Linked DNA regions of Oryctolagus cuniculus. The protein of the gene in region 1 purifies or fractionates together with the protein of each later gene. This does not show direct contact. Links are inferred from orthologs where the notes say so. Each region holds a gene or a part of one and is shown on either strand. Other genes may lie near its edges.

The links.
Region 2: the proteins of TSC22D4 (region 1) and NRBP2 purify together in Homo sapiens (affinity purification with mass spectrometry; 3 studies listed by BioGRID and IntAct, counting the BioPlex papers as one, with this or other methods). This does not show direct contact. The link is inferred for Oryctolagus cuniculus from reciprocal best matches to the Homo sapiens genes TSC22D4 and NRBP2.

What each region holds. Positions count from the first base shown.
Region 1 is NC_091450.1:42,686,144-42,690,411, forward strand, and holds the start of TSC22D4 (TSC22 domain family protein 4), read right to left. Parts: upstream 2,804-4,268; 5' UTR 2,328-2,803; intron 1,927-2,327; 5' UTR 1,667-1,926; coding exon 905-1,666; intron 1-904.
Region 2 is NC_091437.1:167,681,812-167,686,115, forward strand, and holds the start of NRBP2 (nuclear receptor-binding protein 2), read right to left. Parts: upstream 2,806-4,304; 5' UTR 2,655-2,805; coding exon 2,532-2,654; intron 2,294-2,531; coding exon 2,171-2,293; intron 2,101-2,170; coding exon 1,999-2,100; intron 1,917-1,998; coding exon 1,827-1,916; intron 1,710-1,826; coding exon 1,669-1,709; intron 1,586-1,668; coding exon 1,491-1,585; intron 1,385-1,490; coding exon 1,361-1,384; intron 1,291-1,360; coding exon 1,207-1,290; intron 1,127-1,206; coding exon 1,071-1,126; intron 1,000-1,070; coding exon 904-999; intron 250-903; coding exon 117-249; intron 25-116; coding exon 1-24. UniProt on the Homo sapiens protein: May regulate apoptosis of neural progenitor cells during their differentiation.

The DNA.
Region 1 (4,268 bases):
AAGGCCAGGAAGGGGGAAACATTCTCATCCTCACCCTCCAGGCCTTCCCCCTCACCCCGCAGTCCAAGGTGTTATTTTCTCCTGCAGAACAGAAGCATCCAACCCCACATTCCTGGCTGCCCACCCCCACCCCAGGGACCCAGGCATCCTGCCCCCAGCCCAGACTTGTTCCTCTTTTGGAGACAGGAAGCAGAACGCACAGGACTTAACTCCTCCTCTGCTGCTTCCCGCCTCTCTCCCACGCCACGGTGGCCACCCCTTGTTATCAACCCCAGAGGGGACAGAGGCAGGAACCAAGACAGACCCCCCCACCAGGGGTGAGGCGAGCCCCCCATCCCGTCCAGTGCCCCATCCACCCAGTTCCTCAGTGCCTCAGAGAAACATGGCTTGCAGCAAGGGTGGAGATGAGCCTGGGCTGGGCACTGGCAGAGAGAAGACCCCGCGCTTAGGATGGAGCTGCGTGGAGAGGTTGAGAGCAGAAATCCCACCTTTTGCCCCCTGAGCCTCCCCCCGCCCCAAACCCTGGCAACTCCTCGACCAGGGGCCGAGTCACCCAGCCCGGGGCCTCCACCCTCATTACCTGGAGCCAGAGGGAGTGAGACCCCAAGACAGAAGGTGGTGACCAAAGTGAGCAGACCATTGTAGCTAAAGGCTATATGGAGACAGGGCAAGAGCCAAAGGCAACAAATTAAAGGCCACAGAGAAAGAAGGTGTAGCTTGCAGGGAAGAGGAGCCCCAGGGAGAAAGCAAAGGACAGCAAAGTGCGACGGCAGAGAGAGAAAAGAGGTGCCACGGATGAGACAGATGACAGTGGCGGGGGAGGGGAGCATGGCGGTGAGGCTCCGACTGAGATGCCTGAGCAGGGCCCTCAGGAGTCTCCCCCAACCTGGAACCTGGCTCTTACCTGTCCAGCCTCCTCTGGAGCAACCAACTCCATCCTCAGTCGCAGGGCTCCATCTTTCCTTCGGGACGCTGGAGGGGTCCCTGCCGCCGGGCCCCCAGCCTCCACTTCCACCCTTAGGGAGGGCAGGGGCACGGGAGCCAGGGATGTGCCGGCGCTATCCCCAGTCCCAGGCTCTGGGAGGCGCTGCTGCGGTGGGGAGGCCGCCAGGAGGGGTGTCTCCACCTTGGCCTTGCCGGGCACCGACAGCTGGCCCAGCCCGCCGGTGAGGGAGCGGGCCTGAGGTCCAGGGGAGCTGGGGGGCGGACGCAGCCAGGAGGTGGGGCCCTGAGACAGGCCTGGCTGTGGGATAGGGGCGCCCAGGCCCAAGCTGGCCAGCTCCAACCTGGAATCCAGAGATCGACCCCCAGTGCCCCCCGAGGCTCCCCGGATCCCCTCCAGGAGCCGGCCGAAGCTGGGGGGCTCCAGGTCTCGCTCGTAAACATCCACACACGTCCAACGACCTCGGCGATAAGGCTCTCCCAAGCCGTGGGGCAGCTTCACCACCCGGAAGCGGGAGGCAGGGGCCCCAGGCGGTGGGGAGCCATTCCGGGGGGTGCTCTTGCCCCCTGGGTCGGGGTTGGGCTCCCCGTTGGGGAGGCGGGGCGGGGGCCCCGCAGGGGCCGGTGGGGCAGGGGGATCGGAGCCGCCGGGGCTCCCTGGGCCCTCGTAGTCCGTGGTGACGCTGGTGATCTGGAAACTACTCTTCTTTTTGCCTCCACTCATGGTCCCCGGAACTCAGGACTGGGCTGAGGTTGGGGGACTGGGGCTCTTTGAAGGGGCTCAGGCACCCCTAGAACAGGGGGGCCACATTGCGGGGGCATCAGGGCCCCTGGGAACATCTGGGTCCGACATGGCCAAAGGGCCTTGTGGGAACTGGGGGTGCCCGGCTGATGACAGAACAGGGTAGGGGAGGTGGCGGGAGGGGGGAGCAGGGGCAGGTTTTTCCTGCTGCCGCCGCCGAACTCCAGAGCTGAGTTTGCAAACTGGAAAGAGAGAGAGAGCGCGGGTGCGCGCGCGTGTGTGAGAAAGCAGTGGGCAGGCCACCTCCGGGGCTTCCTCTCTGGGGAGCAGAATTGGAGAGGAAGGGGAAATCGCCAGAGACCCAGAGACAAAGAGACAGGCAGGGGAGGCCAGAGAGCACGGCGTGGGGCACACAGACTTGGGCATTTCTGGCCTGGGATTCAAACTCAGGGGACCCAGTTTGTCCTGAGCGCACCGGCTCCAGGTCCTGGGTGAACCAGGGTGAGGCGGCACCTCCAGGCCGCTTGGCGGACTCTGCTGGGCCTCCTCCAGGCACCCCGCACCCCGGTTCCCACATCCCAGGGGCAGGCCCTGCCCGCGCCCCAAGCGCCGCGCCGCGCCACGCCCAGTCCGGGGGCCTTACCTCTCGGTCTCGGCCACCGAGCTGACCGTGGGGGTCCCGGCGCCCAAGGTGTTGGGCTGTCTTTTCCCGGGGGCCTCCTGGCCCCGGGGTGGCGCGGGGCACGCAGGCGGCGGTCAGGGGCAGCCCAGTCCTGTTCGGGGGCCGCACCTCCCCCTGCGAGGCATCTCCGTGGAAAGTTTTCGCTCCAGAAAAGGAGTCTGCGCCCCCTCGGCGGAGCCCAGGAGCCGCCTCCGAAGCCCGAGGTCTCCCGATAGCTGTGGGAGGGTGCGGCTCAGCCCCCCGCGGCTCCAGGCGGCAGCCGGCCTCGGTGGTCCCGGCGAGCGGGTCTCGCACACCTCCTCCCGCGTGGTCCCGCTGGACCTGTCTCCGCTCCTCGGCTGCTCTCAGTCTCGTCTGTCTTTCTCTTTCGGGGCTGTTGACAACCCCCACACCAGGAAGTCCTGCCTCCTCGGGCCTGCTGACTGCTCCTCTCCTCCTCCTCCTCCTCCTCCTTCCCCTCTTCCTCCCCCCTCCTCCCTCCTGGGGCTCCCCGCCAGCTGGCCCCGGGCCAGGCCCGCCACAGCCGCCGCTCTTGCAGTTGCTTCTGCTCCTGGGGCCCCAGACGGGCTCCCTTAACCCCACACCTGCTGGGCCCCGGCCCGGCGCTTCCTCGGAGGGCGGGGCTTCGAGGGCGGGGAGAAAGGGGCGGAGTTCGCCGAGAGACCAGGGATTCCCTTACTTGCAGGCAGCTGGCTGCCATTGGCCTGCGGACGCGCGCCCAGGAGCGGACCAGGCCCGTGCGGGGTGCCCGGCTGCCCAGAAGTGCCTGACTTAAACGTGCCGGCGCGGCTGTGACTGTCATTGTCACAGCTTCTTTGAAAGAGGAAGGGACTATTATTTCCCCCACTCCTTATCTGAAAAAGTGGATTATTATGAAAAACTTCCAACAAAACTGAATAGTGACCACCCAGGTACTTAGCAAGTGGGTTCAGCGATTAGCAACTCCTAGCCCGCCTTCTCCCATCCCTACCCCCAATGTCCTGTATCAGAAATCCTGGACATCATATTACTGAACTACTTGGATGTGAAAATTGAGACCAGAGAGTTTGGAAAAGGCTGTCATTCGTACAGCAGAGACATTCCACACACTCAGCTCTTTTCTATTTATTTATTTGAGAGGCAGAGTTGCAGAGATTGAGAGGGAGAGGCAGAGAGAGAGGTCTTCTATCCGCTGGTTCACTCCCCAAATGGCCACAACCAAAGCCAGGAGCCAGGAGCTTCTTCTGGGTCTCCTACACGGGTGCACGGACCCAAGGACTTGGGCCATCTTCTACTGCTTTCCCAGGCCATAGCAGAGAGCTGGACTGGAAGAGGAGCAGCCGGGACTAGAACCGGTGGCCATATGGGATGCGGACGGCACAGGCAGAGCATTAATCTGCTGCGCCCCAGTGCTGACCCCACACTCAGCTCTTTGTGTGGAACGAGAAACACATTAGGACTTGCAGACAGGAGGCTGACTTTCACTTTCTCTCCAGACACTGGACACGCAGGAATATCCACTTACCCACACAGGTGCACCTGAGGACCAACCCCAGCAGCCACAAGCAGGGCCCCTTTCCCTAGCTCTCCCGCTGCATCCAGTGCTTACTAAGAAGGACAATTCACACAAACTAATGAAAAGCCTGCTATGCACTTGGCATGAAAGAACACACTGGGGCAGTGGTGAAGCCACTGCTTGCTTTGCAGGTATCCCATAAGAGCACCAGTTCAAGTCTCGGCTCCTCTGCTTCTGATCCAGCTCCCTGCTAATGCACCTGCTAAAGCAGTGGAAGATGGCTCAATTGCTTGGGCCCTTCTCACCTGGGTGGAAGACCCAGATGCAGTTCCTGACTTTGGCCTGGCTCAGCTCCAACTATTTTGGGTATTTGGGGAGTGAATCAGTAGATGGAAGCTTGCTTGCTC
Region 2 (4,304 bases), on another chromosome or scaffold:
CCACCATGTTCTCCGGCATGAGGTCTGCGGGCCGCAGGATACACGGGCGGGCTGAGCCCCAGTCCTGGGGGACGCTGCCGCGCCAGGACGCCAGGCCCAGCTGGCCGGCCACTCACACTGGTGCTGGATGAAGCAGTGGGCCGCCAGGAGCTTCAGCGAGTGCACCTCAAACAGCACGCGGTGGAACAGCAGGCTGTGGGCCGAGGGCCGGCGGGCAGGGTCCCGGGCCAGGCAGGACAGGATGAACTCCTGAGGGCGTGGGAGGAGGCCTCCTGAAACCCCGCACCCCAGGGTGCAGCCCCTCTCGCCTCAGAGTCCCAGCGGGAGCCCTGGGCGGGAATACCCAGGGAAAGGCACCCCGAGGGCAGCCAAGCCAGCTCCGACTCTGAGCGGGAGGGCACCGGCACCGCGGGCAGTGACTGCCATTATCCGGGCACACAGGCGGGCCCTACCCACAGCCCGGCCCTGCTCAGGCTCTGCCTCAGGGGCTGCATGGACCGGGCCGCCCCAGCTCCCCAGGAGCCCCTGGGGCCGCAGAGCTAACCCTTGGCCTCCGACCCGAAAGGCTTGCGCCCTACACTTGCTTTGCCCACCCTGCCCCCATCCACCTGGAGCCCCAGGTCTGGAAGCTTGGAGGTCTCGGGGCTGGGCAGACGGCGTGACGCTGCGGCTCCCTCTCTGAGCCAGCCTCGGGTGTGTGTGTGGGGGGGGGGAGGTCCAGTGCGCCACGTGCCAAGGCTGTCTCTAGTGCCCTTGGCTTCACAGCGCTGATCCCCTAGGGTCCTAGGCCCCAAACCCCGCCTGGGGCCCTAGCAAGGTCCTCCTCGCCGGTGGGCTTTGTGCAAGTGGCTGGCACACCCCTCGGCGGCAGCCACAGGCCCAGAGCCCGGGCAGGCTGCTCACCCGCATGTTGGGGTCGCTCAGGGAATGCCGGGCCCGAGCCACGGCCTCCTCGGTGACCCGGGCGTCCCCGTTGGCCTGGATCTCCAGCACAGCCATCTGGGCGTGGAGAGGACAGCGGTGAGGCGGAGGCCGCCCGGCACGGAGGGGCGGGGAGCCAGGGCCAGTACCTCCAGCGCGCACATCCCGAAGGAGAAGATGTCCACGGCGGTGCCGTCGGCCACCTCTGAAAGGGAGACGCGAGGCCGGGCAGCCGGGCAGGGCCGGGCAGGGCCCGCGAGGCGCGCGCCGAGCCCCCGGACCCACCTCCGTACTCCGGGGGGAAGAAGTGCAGGTTCCGAAGCTGCTCGCGCTCCGCCAGGACCGGGCTGCGCAGATCGTCCGGGAGGGCTGCAGGGGAGCGCGGGCGCTGAGCGGACGCAACCTGGCCGCAGCCAAGGCTACCCCGAGCCCCACGCACCGTTGGAGAAGATGCGGTACCACACTGCACCGGCACCGGCGGGGAGACAGAGGCGTCAGCGCGAGGCCGCGGCGTCCACGGTCCCCGCCCGGCCCTGCCCCCGCCGCCGCGTCCGCGCCTGCACCCGCACCGGAGCCGATCTTGACCAGGCCGTTGTGCTGGATGAAGATGGTGTCGCTGGTCAGGTTGCCGTGAATGATCGGGGGGCTGCAGGCGTGCAGGAAGCTGCGGACGCGGGGCAGGGAGAGGCCGCGTGGTCAGGCTGCGCCCGGCCGGCGTGGGGCGCGGGCGCGCAGGCGCAGGCTCACCTGAGCGCCGACAGGATCTGCGTGCACCAGCGCTTCCAGGCCTAGCGGCGACGCACGACGCCATCGGGTGGGCTGGGGGGGGCGGCCGGGCCTGCGCAGCCCGCCCCCCCCCCGCGCCCACCCCCACCCTGACCCCTGGCCCGCCCCCTCCCCCATACCCGGGCGTTCATGGCCTTGTGATTCTTCTTGGTCTTTTTCAGGAACTGCTTGAGGCTGCCCGACGACACGTACTCCGTGATGAAGACCACCTGCGTGGCGGGCGGGCTCGCGGCGGGTCCCACGGCCCGCGCCTCGCCCGCCGCGCCTCGCCCGCACCCCACCGCGGCTCACCCGCGCGCGGGTCTCCGAGGCGTCCAGCCAGTAGCGGTGCAGCTTCACGATGTTAGGGTGGTCGACGAGCGCCAGCTGCTCGAACATGGTCAGGATCTTCTCCTGGACAGGGGGCGCGGTCAGGAGCAGCGAGGGGCGGCCCGGGGCGCGGCGCGGCGGGGCCGGGTCTCACCTCGTGGGCCGCGAAGGCCTTCCTGTCGCCGAAGTGCAGCTCGTTCCACACCACCTCCACCCCCTCCTCCGCGTCCATGGCCAGGAACGTGCTCTGGATCCCGGGCATGTTCCCCTGGTTCACCTGGGCGGGGCAGCGCGCGCCGCGGGTGGGACCGGGCCCTGCGCGCGCCCGTCCCTCAGCCCCGCGCGCTCGTGGCTGGGTCCCCCAGGAGCGGTGGGCCGCATGCCAGGGCCGGATTCCGGGGACGCACGGTGGTCCAGGGAGAAGACCGGTCCTCGGAGGCCCGGGGCTTCTCTCCAGGGCGCGCGCGTCGGGCCCGCGGCGTCCGAGGCCGCCAGCGTCGCCCGCCCGCGCCCACCTGCTCCCGCCGCTTCTGCCAGCGGCCGCACGGGCTCTCCTCCAGGATCTCGCTCTCGTCCTCGCTCTCGTCCTCTCGCTCCCTCTCACGGCCCCTCCTCGGCGTCGGCTCCGGGGCCGCCATGGCTGGGCGGGCAGGCACCGCCCTTCTCGCGCCCCAGCCCCGCGTCCCGCGCCCCGGCCCCCGCCCAGCCCCGCGCCCGCCCCGGCCGAGCCGAGCCGAGCCGCCGCCGCCGCCTGAAGCCCCCACCCGCGCTCGGGAATCCGGAGGCGCGGGCGCGCGGCGGGCCGGGGGGAGGAGCCGGAGGGCAGCGCCCGCGCCTGGCCCACTCTGCGGCTCCGCCCCACCCAAGGCTGCCCCATCCCTGGCCGCTCGGTCAGAGCCTGGCCCCTAACCACCCGAGGCCTCGTTCGGCTGCCCTGGGCCCGGGACGCTCCGGCTATGGGCAGGAGAGACCCCAGCGCCAGCCTGAGCCTCCTAGGCCGGGGCTTCCCTGGGGCGCAGCGCGGTCGGGAACCACCCACGACCACCTTGCTGCCCCGCATCCCTACGCCGCCACTGCCGTGCCCAGTGGGAGCACACTCCGCTGAGGTGGGGAGGTCCGGTGGTCCCCCGACCTGCACCACGTGGGAGACCCGGATGGAGCTCCTGGCTCCTGGTCTCTGCCTGACCCAGACCTGGCTGTTGTGGCCATTTGGGTTGGGAACCAGAGGATGGAAGTGTGTGTGCCTGTCTGTCACTCTGCCTTTTAGATAAAATGTCTTAAAAAAGAAAAGAAAAGAAAAACTCATCTCAACATGCACCCCCTCCCACACACACACATCTGCCGACTCCCTCCCTGGGGGCTGGGGTGCCTGCTTCCTCTCCGGCTGAAACTAGCTGAACTGCTGGGCTCCCCGAACCCTGGCATCTGACCCTTTCCCACGTCCACTGCTGTCACCGTTCTGACCAGCCTGTGCCCCACACCTCCTAAAGAACTGGCCCCGACCGGCTCCCAGGAACACCTCTTGGTGTGTCTGCGTTCCCCCCAGAGGCCTGGGGCCTTGCAGTGAGAACCTGTCCCTGTAGAAGCCCTGGGCATGAGGCCTGTGGAGCCTGCCCGGCTGGCCGCAGCCCAGGCCTCAGGAGACCAAGCCTCATCTGTCCGCATGGCCGCGCCGGATGGTATCTGTGGGGGCTCTCCTGCCCGCTCTGCCCTGTGTCCCCGGCCACGGTGAGGTACCCCTTCCAGTGTAACCGCTCTGAGTTCTGAGAGTCTGCTGGCTCGTGGAAGGCCAGGACGGTCTGGGGCCTCCTGCTGGTCTCTTCTCTCTCCCAACCAGGAGGGCCGGGCCGTTGGTCCTGCCGCACCCACCCCCACTGCTCCCACCTGCTCTCGGAGAGCCCACCCCAACCTCCCCGGGCCCCAGCAGCTGAGTCCTGCTGGACTGCTCTGCCCATTGCAGGCTCAGCCAGACCCGAGGAGGCTGGCAGGCTCCCGGCCCCGGAGCAGGTCCAGCCAGGGCGCTGTGTGGCTGAGGGTGCACTCCAGAGTTGGGTGCTTGTCACGGGAGACCTGGCCCACCCATCTTGCCAGGAGTCATGTCCTGGAGAGCAGAGGTACCCCCCCTGAGGTTGGGGGGAGGGTGTCGTGTGCAGCTGTGTCTGGGGCTTTGCCCTGCGGAGAGTGGTGCTCACCCTAAACAGAGAACAGAGCCCCAGAGGAGGCCCGCCCTGGAGCCAGCCCTGACCCAGGCCTGTCCTGTGCTGGCAGTGTTGTGGCACCCCGCCCTT